2 separate regions of the Mus musculus genome follow, and region 2 is reported to be linked to region 1. The links are microRNA targets in miRTarBase. Many come from high-throughput screens and were not tested one by one. Region 1 holds a microRNA gene; the other region holds the end of a gene's coding sequence.
What was found. Region 1 holds the annotated microRNA mmu-miR-488-3p (UUGAAAGGCUGUUUCUUGGUC, at 2,954-2,974, opposite strand). A microRNA usually pairs through its seed, bases 2 to 8, with sites in the 3' UTR of a target mRNA and lowers its output. Matches are read on the target gene's strand: a 7mer-m8 pairs with bases 2 to 8, a 7mer-A1 pairs with bases 2 to 7 and ends in A, and an 8mer does both.

Region 2: miRTarBase lists Nwd1 as a target of mmu-miR-488-3p. Seed matches in the 3' UTR shown: 7mer-A1 at 1,218-1,224.

The regions. Positions count from the first base shown.
Region 1 is chr1:158,503,283-158,508,662 of GRCm38, reverse strand. It overlaps Mir488 (microRNA 488), which reads right to left and starts at 3,038; the gene lies at 2,930-3,038. Astn1 (astrotactin 1) reads right to left here. Exons shown (of 23, transcript NM_007495.4): 4 at 4,314-4,460; 5 at 3,194-3,301. All of the region lies in intron 1 of Gm37679 (a long non-coding RNA gene), which reads left to right.
Region 2 is chr8:72,711,209-72,716,588 of GRCm38, forward strand. It overlaps Nwd1 (NACHT and WD repeat domain containing 1), which reads left to right. Exons shown (of 19, transcript NM_176940.5): 19 at 385-3,538. The coding sequence ends at 683. Among named protein-coding and RNA genes, the nearest start is that of Sin3b, 9.4 kb to the right of the region's middle.

The sequences.
Region 1 (5,380 bases):
CCACCATTTTGAAGCAAGCTTCATTAAATATTAAATACTGACCAAGAGATGGACTTTGGTTAGGACCATTCCCTAGAATTTTCCAGCTGAATGGCCCTGAGACCCGTACTACAGGGGGTTACAAAGGCATACCTACAGGCCGTGATACTTTCCCAAGAGGCTTTATTATTTTTTAAGAACTCCCAGCATTCCAGGGAGTTACCTAGTCCTTGGGCAAGATAATGCTTACAGATTAATTTTGAATATTACACATGGAGTCCATTTCCTCACACTTAAGGATTAACCCACAGTATCACATCCATCAAGAGAACATCCTCCCTCTGGCACTAAATGCTCTACATACTGCCAACTCTACCTGTCCTGTTTCTCAAACCCAGTATCCTGTCTGATCTCCACTGTCATCAGATGGCTTCTCAACTCCTACAACTCCATTCGATCCAACACTTTCCCTGTTTGTTCACAAGGCACACTTTCTTACCACCAACTCTTTAAATAGAAGGTCTTTTGTTTTGTTGTTGATGTTCAAGGTTACATCTCCATTTTCTCATCTTACATTAGGACTCAGGCAGTACCTGTCTTACCCTCACAGATACACCCACTGGTTCTCAGCTATTGTCTACACTGCCTCCAGAGGAGAGACAGAGGCCTCCACACAGCACAACTGACTAGCTAAACTAGACAGATCCAAGACCTTTGCAGTCACGACTATATTCTTCCTGGATTCTGCTGAGCATTTGGCTGGCTTTCCCAAACAATCCACAAACATGCACCCTAGACTTTACTGAACTATGTTTCAGTTTTCTCACTAAACCATCTCTTCCATTCCAGTGACTTTGCACAGATTATCTCCTCCTCCACAGAAGGCCATTTTGTCACCTTGTCATCCTGGTCAACACCTACGCTTCAACAACAGCTTCCTGAAAACACTTCCCTGAAACCTTCAAGAACAGATTCTCACTCTTCCTTGTTCTTCTAGCCCTTAGTGCACCCTGCTGTTACAGCTCTTATCACACGATGTCATCACTGTTTGCAGGCACTTGCCACTGCTCTCCTGTGATTGCAATAACTTGCAACTGATATTTTTGTCCCTTTCCTCTATGTGCACTGTCAACCCACAATCTAGCCTCCTCGCCTGCCTTCACATTGTCCAGTGGTTTCCTATTTGTTTACAGAATCCAGTGCAATTCTAAGAGCGTGGCAGGCAGGTTTGTGCTTTGGTAGTTAGCTTATTCTCTGCCTTCATCCTTACTTCCCCTATGTTTGTTTATATCCTGGCTAGAGCTACAGGCTCCCTCACTTCCTTGACAACCACATTGCTTAGAGTCCTCAGCTTTTTTTTTTTAATGTACTTCATTCCTCTACTGAAATGTTCACATCTAAGAATTCTTTTTCCAGACATTCTATACATTACCTATTTTTCAGTGCTAACTCTTCTTTACTGCCTCCTATTGCTGCCATGTAGAATTAAGTGTATCGCTTCTGAGTGCTTGTTTTGTTTATTTACATTATTAAATAAAGCCTTATCGTTCTGCCATGTTTTCATGTATCCACTACCTATCATAGAGGCTGACCCATAGGAGCTAGGTTATATGATGCTTTTGCTGGTCTGATTGATGTATCCAGTCCAATTAAGCAGACACTCACACACATATATTATAGGCAAACTCCTTTAGTAGGCACTTTGAAAAAATAATTATAGGAACGCTCCACCCCTAAGCCACTTACAGTTTAGTTAATAGCAGTAGACAGTTGATGCATTACAGGGACTTGGAAGTTAGGAAAACAAATCATGTTATGCTGTAAAGTAACTAACTCTAACCCACCACCAGGGGTTTTCTCAAATAAGACTTTATTAAAACAAGACACAACCTGCTTTGATACAGCCTAGATTGTGTATTTGTTCTATAAATGATTTTGAGCATCTAGGGAGAGGAAGGTACTGTTATCCATATTCTAATGTCAGGAAAAATGAGACTCTACAGTTAGTCAATTAAGAGCCCCGCTGGCTCCTCAGGAAAAGAGGTGACAAGAAAAACTCAAATGCTACAGACTGAGGAGCTTACAGACACTGGAACACAGAAGGAAAGTATCTTCCTTCTTGGAGTTCCTGGGAAGAATAAATTCTGTATGAAGAGAATTTGAGTGGAGGTAGGACTCAGCCAGTATGTGTGAGTTCTGAAAGCCACTGGTTAGGCATTGTTTGGCAAGGCCACTGCATTATAGCCACGCAAAGATGACACAGTTGATGCCATTCATATATCCTCCACCAATGTCTTGAGGAGAGTCTGTTTAGTATATTTCAACACGGGGCTCGGTAAAAACTATAGACTACTACTGGGAAGATCCAGCAGTAGCAATGAGGATTTCATAGTACTTTAGCAGTTGCCAAAATAAAGAAAGGATGTAATTCTCACAGAAGCCTTCTGTATGTGTTATTTGGAAGTCATTCAATATGTGAGAATGGATGCTCAGAGGGTCTGCATCCTTATGCCACGCCACACAGGAAGGAGATCCTGAAACTCACTGCTGTTTGTCTATAGAACACTGTCAGAGGTAATGGCAACACCAGGAAGGTCATAGTATCTCCTACAGTAGTAGCAGGAGTCACAGCTGAAGTCCGGGACTTCACCTAGGATGACCCTGCAGCCATACATACAGAAGTGTAGATGTGAATAATAAATTAGCTTAAACTGTGCCAGGAGAAGTGAAGGGTTTGGAGGCGTGGGTCTCAAGATTCTACTGTGTAAAACCTCAAAGGCCAAGTTATTCTCAACTCCTAGATAATTCCTTACTGACCATGCCCTCCTACCCCAGTCTAGCTCAATCTCAAGGCCAATGCAGTTGAACTGATGACAAGTACGTGTATTATTCATTTATTAAACCCCATCCACTTTGTTTGTCTGAATAGTAAAACATGACTGCTGAGTCTTCCAGAAGAAATTGAGAGTCTTCTGACCAAGAAACAGCCTTTCAAACAACATGGAAACTTGTTTGAGAGTGCTATTATCTGGGAGAGAGGATTCTCACTCTCACCCGAACTCTAGGCTCTCCATTCCTCCCTGGAGGAAGCTCCAGCTGGGATCCAGGCATTCTTCCTGCTGAAGTTGGCTCCAGTCCACAGAGTGAGGGAGCGCTCTGTGGCCCCTGCTTTTCCCACCTACACCCTACTTACACACCTTCCCACCATCCGTACCTCGACTGCGCCTCCGGCTCCGAGAGGGGTCTGTGTAGAAGGTCAGCTGTGGGTCATTTTCGGCCTCTGTGCTGGAGTCCCCTTCAGGGTTCAAGAAGGCAGAACCAGCTGAAATGAATTGAGAATCAGAGCAGATATTTTCATTTTGCATGATTGCAGAATCACAGGATGAGGTCTAATTGGGAAGTTAATAAAAATAAGAGTGGCTGACACACAGTCTCGGAGAGGTAGCAGAGGGGCTGGGACTTCTTGATACCCAGGCTTGTGAAGAAGCAGGCACTTAGGAGAGCAACAGATAGTGCTCTGATCCCTGCAGAGAACATGGTTCTGTGATTAGGGACTTGTCGGGCATCTACTCGTCAGAGAGGACTTCCAGAGAAGGGAGGGGGTAGAGGAAAAAGAAAGGAAAATGTTCCATCCTGCTTGATAGAAGACCAGAATTGCATCAGAGCAGAAAAGACATTATACTTCTGAGTTTTTCCTGATTCAAGAATATATACAAAAAGGATAAAAAGAGAGATAGGCGTATGTGCAGGGAACATGTCCTGCAAGCCCTCTAAAACAGGGGCAATTTTTTCTATTGCTTGATGGATATACCCTCTGTCCTTTTCTGATACTGAAACAGGTAAAGGGGTTTCAATCTCCCTTTAAAATGGAATTGAGCCATACCCTGATTATAATCACATTTTCCTCATTGAATAGGTGGGCAACTTTCCATATTAACAAATAAAGATCTATATGATCATTTTAAATGACTGCAGGGTAAATCACTGGACATTAGGCAGATGTGCCAGATAGTCTACCAATTCCCTATTGATGGGCGTCTATACCATTTCTGATTTTTAGCTTGTTTAAATGTGATAAGCAGCCATTTACAAACATCTTTGCACAGTTGTTCAATTTGTTCCTAGAAAATACTCATGTCCATGACAGTATGTAATCAAGAGGTTTCTAATCTTAAATTTTGGGGTGAGTAGCATCTATCTGGCCTCCTGAAGGTTGTACCAGACATATACATTTGTAGCTATGTATCACAGTGCATGTAGTTGGATTAATGGGCCCACCACCTCTGCCCACATTCTGGAACTCATCTGAATAACGTAGAACTAGACATGAGTACCTCTGGCTTTATTGTTGATCCTCTTTCTCTGGCTGCTGGAGGTGTGGGAGAGCAGAGTGGCTTGCTGGTGGTTAGAATCCACGGGGCTTGTGGCTATGATATTGTCTTTATACTTGTTCATCAGGGAAAGCTTGGCATTGTCACTCCCTATATAAGGAAAAGTCAGGAAAAAACAAAACAAAACAAGAGTAAAGGCAAAAAAATGAATGGAAGTGAGAAAGTCTGCTTGAGCTGAGTAGATAGGTCCCAATTATTGAAACGAGGAACATAGAAAAAGAGGCTGGTGGAAAGGAAGACATTCCTTTCTGCTGTCTAGGGGCTACAAAGTTACAGGAGGAGCGAAGTAAGAGGATTACCATTGAAAATCCAATTTAGCTAATTCCGTATTGATAATGTCACTACTAGCCAGCCTTTGGCTAAACACAAAATGTGGGGTTTTTCCTTCTGGACAGCACTGGGTTTTAGCAGAAATAGAATCTATGTGCATTCTGACAAAATGTGGCCTGTCTTTCATCACAGACTCCAGTATTCCCTGCTGATTGAACTCTTAACTACTGCATGGATTTGGGCAATCTGTCTGTTCCCTAAAGAGCTTTGGGATTGAACCCCCAAAGTACCATTTGTCCATTCCATGGCCTTGGTGCTATGTGGAATATGATGCATGCTGGAGAATCTTCCTTTCTACTCTCAGATTTTTAAAGTTCTCAGACATTAGATTGTATTAGGAAATGATTATTGATACAGGTCATCTTCTAGATGCTAACGAGAATTTCCATTTCCCAATTATGTGATTTCACCTTTTGCAGCCTCATGGAAAGTCTCTGCATCTTTAGCAGCATGCTGTATTGACTGTGTCTTCCTCAAAGAAGGGACTGGGCAGTACCTTGAGGACCACTCTTGAGATGCTGTCTTTTAAGGTGTACTTATTCATAGCAGTTTGAGAGAGAGAGAGAGGTTGGCTATCTTAAAAGAACAGATCTTCCTTTGCTTCATGTTTTTGACCCTGATCTTGTTCTGTTACGTTAGGGCCAAGGTTGTCCTATCCACTCTCTCGATAGATATAGCTA
Region 2 (5,380 bases), not on the chromosome of region 1:
CCCCTCAGCTTAGGAGGTGTATGCAGGACCTGATGGCCTGCTGCCATAGCACTCTTCTCACATGGTCTGTAGACCCCTTTGGAGACAGAACAGCCTTCTTCCCTGGGTCTCCATGAGGGTGGGTGTATACCCATATTCTATGGATGGTAATCATGTACTGGAGATGATGGACTTTGAGCCCAATGATTAGGTCAAACAGGGAGCCCCAGGGAGCATCCATGTCTGCCTCCAGAGCGCTGGGACTGCCAGTGTGCACCTCCACATGCATGCGTGTTAAGGGATTGAATTCAGGCCCTGTGTTTGCAGGCCAAGCACATTACCAGCTGCAATGTCCTTCCATCTCTGGGCCCCATTTTCTCATGGCTTGCCCTTTCCTGGTCACAGGCACTCTTTTGGCTGTCCAGTTTGTTCATGCTGTGATCAACCGAATCATCCCTACCTCCAATGGCTTCATGGCCCCCACAAGCCACGGCTATCTCATCCGTGAGCGCTTCCAGTGCCCGTCAGTCAGAGCCTCCCAGCAAGACCCTCTCAAGAACTTCAAGAAGGCAGTGTGGCTGGTAAAGACCAGGCAGAGGGAAGAGCTGGCTGCAGCAGAAGCCTCCCAGGATGCAGAACCAGTGGCCGTAGAGGGAAAGGAATCAAAGTCAAATAAACGCTCACAGGTCTGCCTCATACTCTGAAAGCCTACCAAGGCAGGGGCTTCAGTGACTTAGCCATGGCTCACCTGGTTGAAGCCAACTGACTCTCTCTGCTGGTGCCATGTGGACCCCCCCTTCCCCTCAACCATCTTCCATTTTTCCTCATAGCTTTTTCTGTGGGTTCTGAAGGCCTACTTCCTTCAAGTGAGCAGCAGCCTGCATCTCCCACCTTACTCTAAGAACTTGGCTCAAAGGCTTGGCTCTGCCTCTTAGTTGTACTGGTGCAATTCTTATCCCTGAGCCAGTTACTAGCTGTGAGAGGATCTGAAATCATTGTAGGGACCAAGAGTGACCTTGTCAAAGTGTTGTGTGATGGAGAGTGAAAGACTGCTGGGATGTGATGGGTGCTGTCCTGTCTTCATAGCAGTGAGCCTCCAGTAATAGCCCATAATCCATACTGCAAAGCCACACAGAGCATAGTTAAACACACAGCATAGTTAGTCTGTCTGCAGCTCCTGCTGTGAGACTCAAAATGGTGTGTAAAAAAAATCCTCCTAGGATCTGGTGGTGGCATAGCTTTCAATCCCAGCACTCAGGAGGCAGAGGCAGGAGGATTCCTGTGAGTTTGAGGCCAGCCTTAGGTTACATAGTAAGTTTCAGGACAGCCAGAGCTATGTAGAGAGAAAAGACTGGTGCTGGCTCAGGGCTTAAATCACCTTGCATCCCAGAATACAAGAACATTGTACACACTGTCACCAACCTGTAAGCCTAGCCTCAGGGAACAGGCTATTTTTGTTTCTTCCACTGCTGTGACTGAAAAACTCGACCAAAAGCAACTTAGAGGAGGAAATGGTTCATCTGGCTTTCACCCCCAGGCCACACACCCAGTTCTTTACTTAGGGAAGTCAGGGAACGAACTCAAGCAGGAACTGAAGGCAAGCCTGCTGGCTATTGCACACAGCATGACCTCTGACTAGGGGACTCAGCCGCGGTCATACAGCAGTGTCTCCGTCATTATCAATTAGTGATGGTCAAGAGACACCATGACCATGGCAAAGCAGTTAATGGGGTTGGGAGAACTGTTTATAGTTTCAAAGGCTTAGTCCACTGTCATCACGACAGGGAGCCTGGTGGCACACATGGCAGGCATGGTGCTGCAGGAATAGCTGAAAGATATATCATGAGAATCCTTTTAAACAGTTCCCTCTCCGGTGGCCAGACACTCAAATATATATGCCTCTGGGAGCCATTCTCACTCAAGACACAAGCCTGAACCACAGAGGATGTAGTTTCTGCCGTTCTCCTGATTAGCTAAGCTTTTTCATAAGCCCCAGAACCACTTACCACTCACAGTGGGCTCCCTCCTCCATCAGCTAGCAGTCAAGACAATGCCCCATGGACAGGCCCACACACCAGTCTGACCTGGGCAACCCTTCAATTAAGACTTGCTTCTCAGGTGACTCTAGGCTATGTGAAGTTGACAGTTAAAGCTAATAAGGTCATAGAGGATCCTGAGCATTCTGGCTAGCTAGCTAGACACATCTGTGAGCTCTGGGTTTGATTAAGAGACCCTGCCACAATGAATAAGGTAGAAGAGAAGTCAATGATTATTCCTGACTCAACCTCATGCCTTCAGATACACATCACATGTACCCACATGGGTGCTCAGGCACACATGAACACTCATGATGCCCACACCAGCCTCCATGTGTAGCCAAAAGTGCTGGCACAGTCTTATCCTCCTGCCTCCATTTCCTGCTTGGACAACTATAACCACTGTGCCCAGCTAAGATGCTGTCTCACTCAGTTCCCTGACACATCAGGACATGCTAGCATCTACCTGCTTTGCTGCCAGACCTTCTGCCTTGAAATGGCTTTCTCCACAGTGCTCACAGCCATCTAGTGAGCCGGTCTTGTGCCTGGAGCCTTGCTACAGCCAGACCTTAGAGGTGAGAGGCCCCCTTCACGCCATGGGACACTAGACAGACTCAGTGAAAGCAGCAGTAGAAACAGCTTGTTTTTCTGTGTTGGATACAGAACCAGGACTTGAAGGCAAGTGCTATATCTCAAGCCATACCCTGAGCCCTTACTGGGGGAATCCAGGAAGGGGCTTTACTGCTCAGTCACATTCCAGCTTCAAAATGAGGCCTTTGAAGATACCTTGTTCAGTTACTTCCCAAATAAGGATTCCAATGCATGCTTTAGCAATTCTGAAAATGTTAGTGTCAAATTTTATTTTTTTAAAAAAATTACTGGTTATGGCAAACAGAGGTTGTGTGCACCTTTAATCATAGCACTTGAGAGGCAGTGGCAGTGGCAGTGGCAGTGGCAGTGGCAGTGGCAGAAGCAGAGGCAGGCAGATTTCTGAGATCAAGGCCAGCCTGGTCTACAAAGTGAGTTCAGGACAGCCAGGGCTATACAGAGAATTCCTGTCTCCAACAGCAGCAGCAGCAGCAGCAACAACAACAAAGGTCTGGAGAGATGGCTCAGCAGTTTGATCCATCTTAGCCCCCACATCAGATGGCACACAAAAGGCCTTTTGGCCTTTGGAGATACCTGCCCAAACATACACACACACACACACACACACACACACAGAATTAAGATCAATATTTTTAAAAATTATGGGCCAATGAGCTGACTCAGTTGGTAACAGCACTTGCTACTCAGTCCCGATGGGCTGAGTTCAATCCCTGGCACTCAGAGAGTGGAAGTAGAGAGCCGACTTCAGAGTTGCTCTCTGACTCCACACATTCACTAAGGTAAGCACCATGGTGATGACACCCCCACCATGCACTCATATGCATACCAATAGTAGTAATAATATAATAACAATAAAATTAAAGATCTATTTTAAGCTGTAATTTAAAAATATATGCACATGTATTGAACAATAATTTGTTTGAGATTTTTAAAAATAATACTTTTTTACTAACATGTACTAATTGTAATATATTAATGAAGACCCACAAGATATTTTCAGCATGCAAGTAGCTGCAAACTTGGTCTTTGTTTTAAATCTACCTTCTGTCTCTGTCCAAAGCTGGTCCTCACAATTCCATATCCTTTTAAGTCAGGGTATGAGAGGGAATGAGGTTCGTCACTGTGCAGCCAACTTACTCATTGAACATGATGTCCTTCAGTTCTGTCTGTTTTGCTACAAATGATAGTCTCTCATGTTCTTCTCTATGGCTGTGAACTGTCCTATCACTGAGTGTACCACAGTCCTTTGTCCACCCACTTTGGTGTTGGTGACTGCTAGTTTAGGAGTCTCCAGCCATACCATCTCTGTTTAATTGAAGGACCTGTAGTTTGAGCAGAGAACCCCTGAAGGGGAAAGAAGGCCACATTTTTGTTAAGACTTTTCTATGAATTGTGGACATTATATCAAAACTGTGGAAAGTTTTGATGCACAGCTTCTGGCCTAAAATTCCAATGTCTGGGGCATGGTCACGCAAGCATTTAGTCCCAGCCTTGGGAGGTAGAGGCAGGAGGATCTCTGAGTTTGAGGCCAGGGTGTTCTACATAGCAAGACCCTGTCTCAAAACAAAACAAAACAAAAGAAAATTCTTGTGTTCATCGAAACAACCTGAAGGAGATTAAATTATGAACTATGTTCTGGGTTGGTGGCTGGGGAGAGCACAGGGTATGAGGAGCATGTTAGCAGTTTCTGCTGCTGTGTGAATGTCAGAGTGTGACCCCTGGTCATCAGAGCATGACCCCTGTTCCTGTAGGCACTGTGGATGAAAACATGCCACACAGACTATGCTCACTAAACCCACTGCAGACAGCTGGCTATTCCAGGGTTATTTAGTTGCTGTGAGCCAAACACCTGACTCAGTAGTTTAAACAGGGAAGGGTTTCTTTGGGCTTAGGGTTTGCAGTTCCAGTCCACCACGGTGAAAGCCCGGGGTAGGGGGAGGGGAGGGGCTCATAGCTGTGGCTCACATGGGGGAGATACTTTGTTGTTTAAAATCCATTCTAGATCTCTGGTCCATGGCATGGTGCCACCCCTGTTCAGGGTGAGTCTTCTGTCCTCAGTTAAAGCTCCCTGGAAATGCTCTCACAGACTTCCAAGGGAGTCCATATCTAGTCAAAGTGACAGTGACCAGGGTTGGTCATCCCTTACCAACCTGGCACATACATCCCCTTACATCACAGTCGCCTGCCCTGTCCCTAGGCCTTCTTGGCCATCTCAAAATGCAAGGTGCATTTGGTCTGTCTCTGAATGTGCTCAAAATAATTTTATTTTATTTGTGTGTAGGGGCAGGAGGTAAAGCTATGAGGTATATGTGGATCTTGGAGTACGGCTTGTAAGAGTTGTTTTTTTTCCCCACCAAGTGGTTGTTGGGGATCAAACTCACTGGGGTCAGGCTTAGCAGCAGGCACCTGCATACACCAAGCCCTCTCACCAGCCCCTCAAATGCCCAACATTGTTCAGAAGCCTCTACTGAGGCTCCAGCACCCCCTTAACTGTAAACTCTGTAAAATAATATAAAGGAAGTTATAAACTTTCAATATGTATGAGTCCAGCTTGGCTGCACAGTGAGTGAGACCAACAACAACCAACCTTTTAACTTCCAAGGGCACAGGTTAAAATAGGAAAGAATGAGTGCATCAAAAGAAAAAATCAGACCAAAGCTGACAGGAGTCTGCTGGGAAATACCAAATCCTGAAATGTGGCATTCCAAACCTGGAGCTCTTGGCCCAGCATCTGGGCCTCAACAGTCTACCTGCTG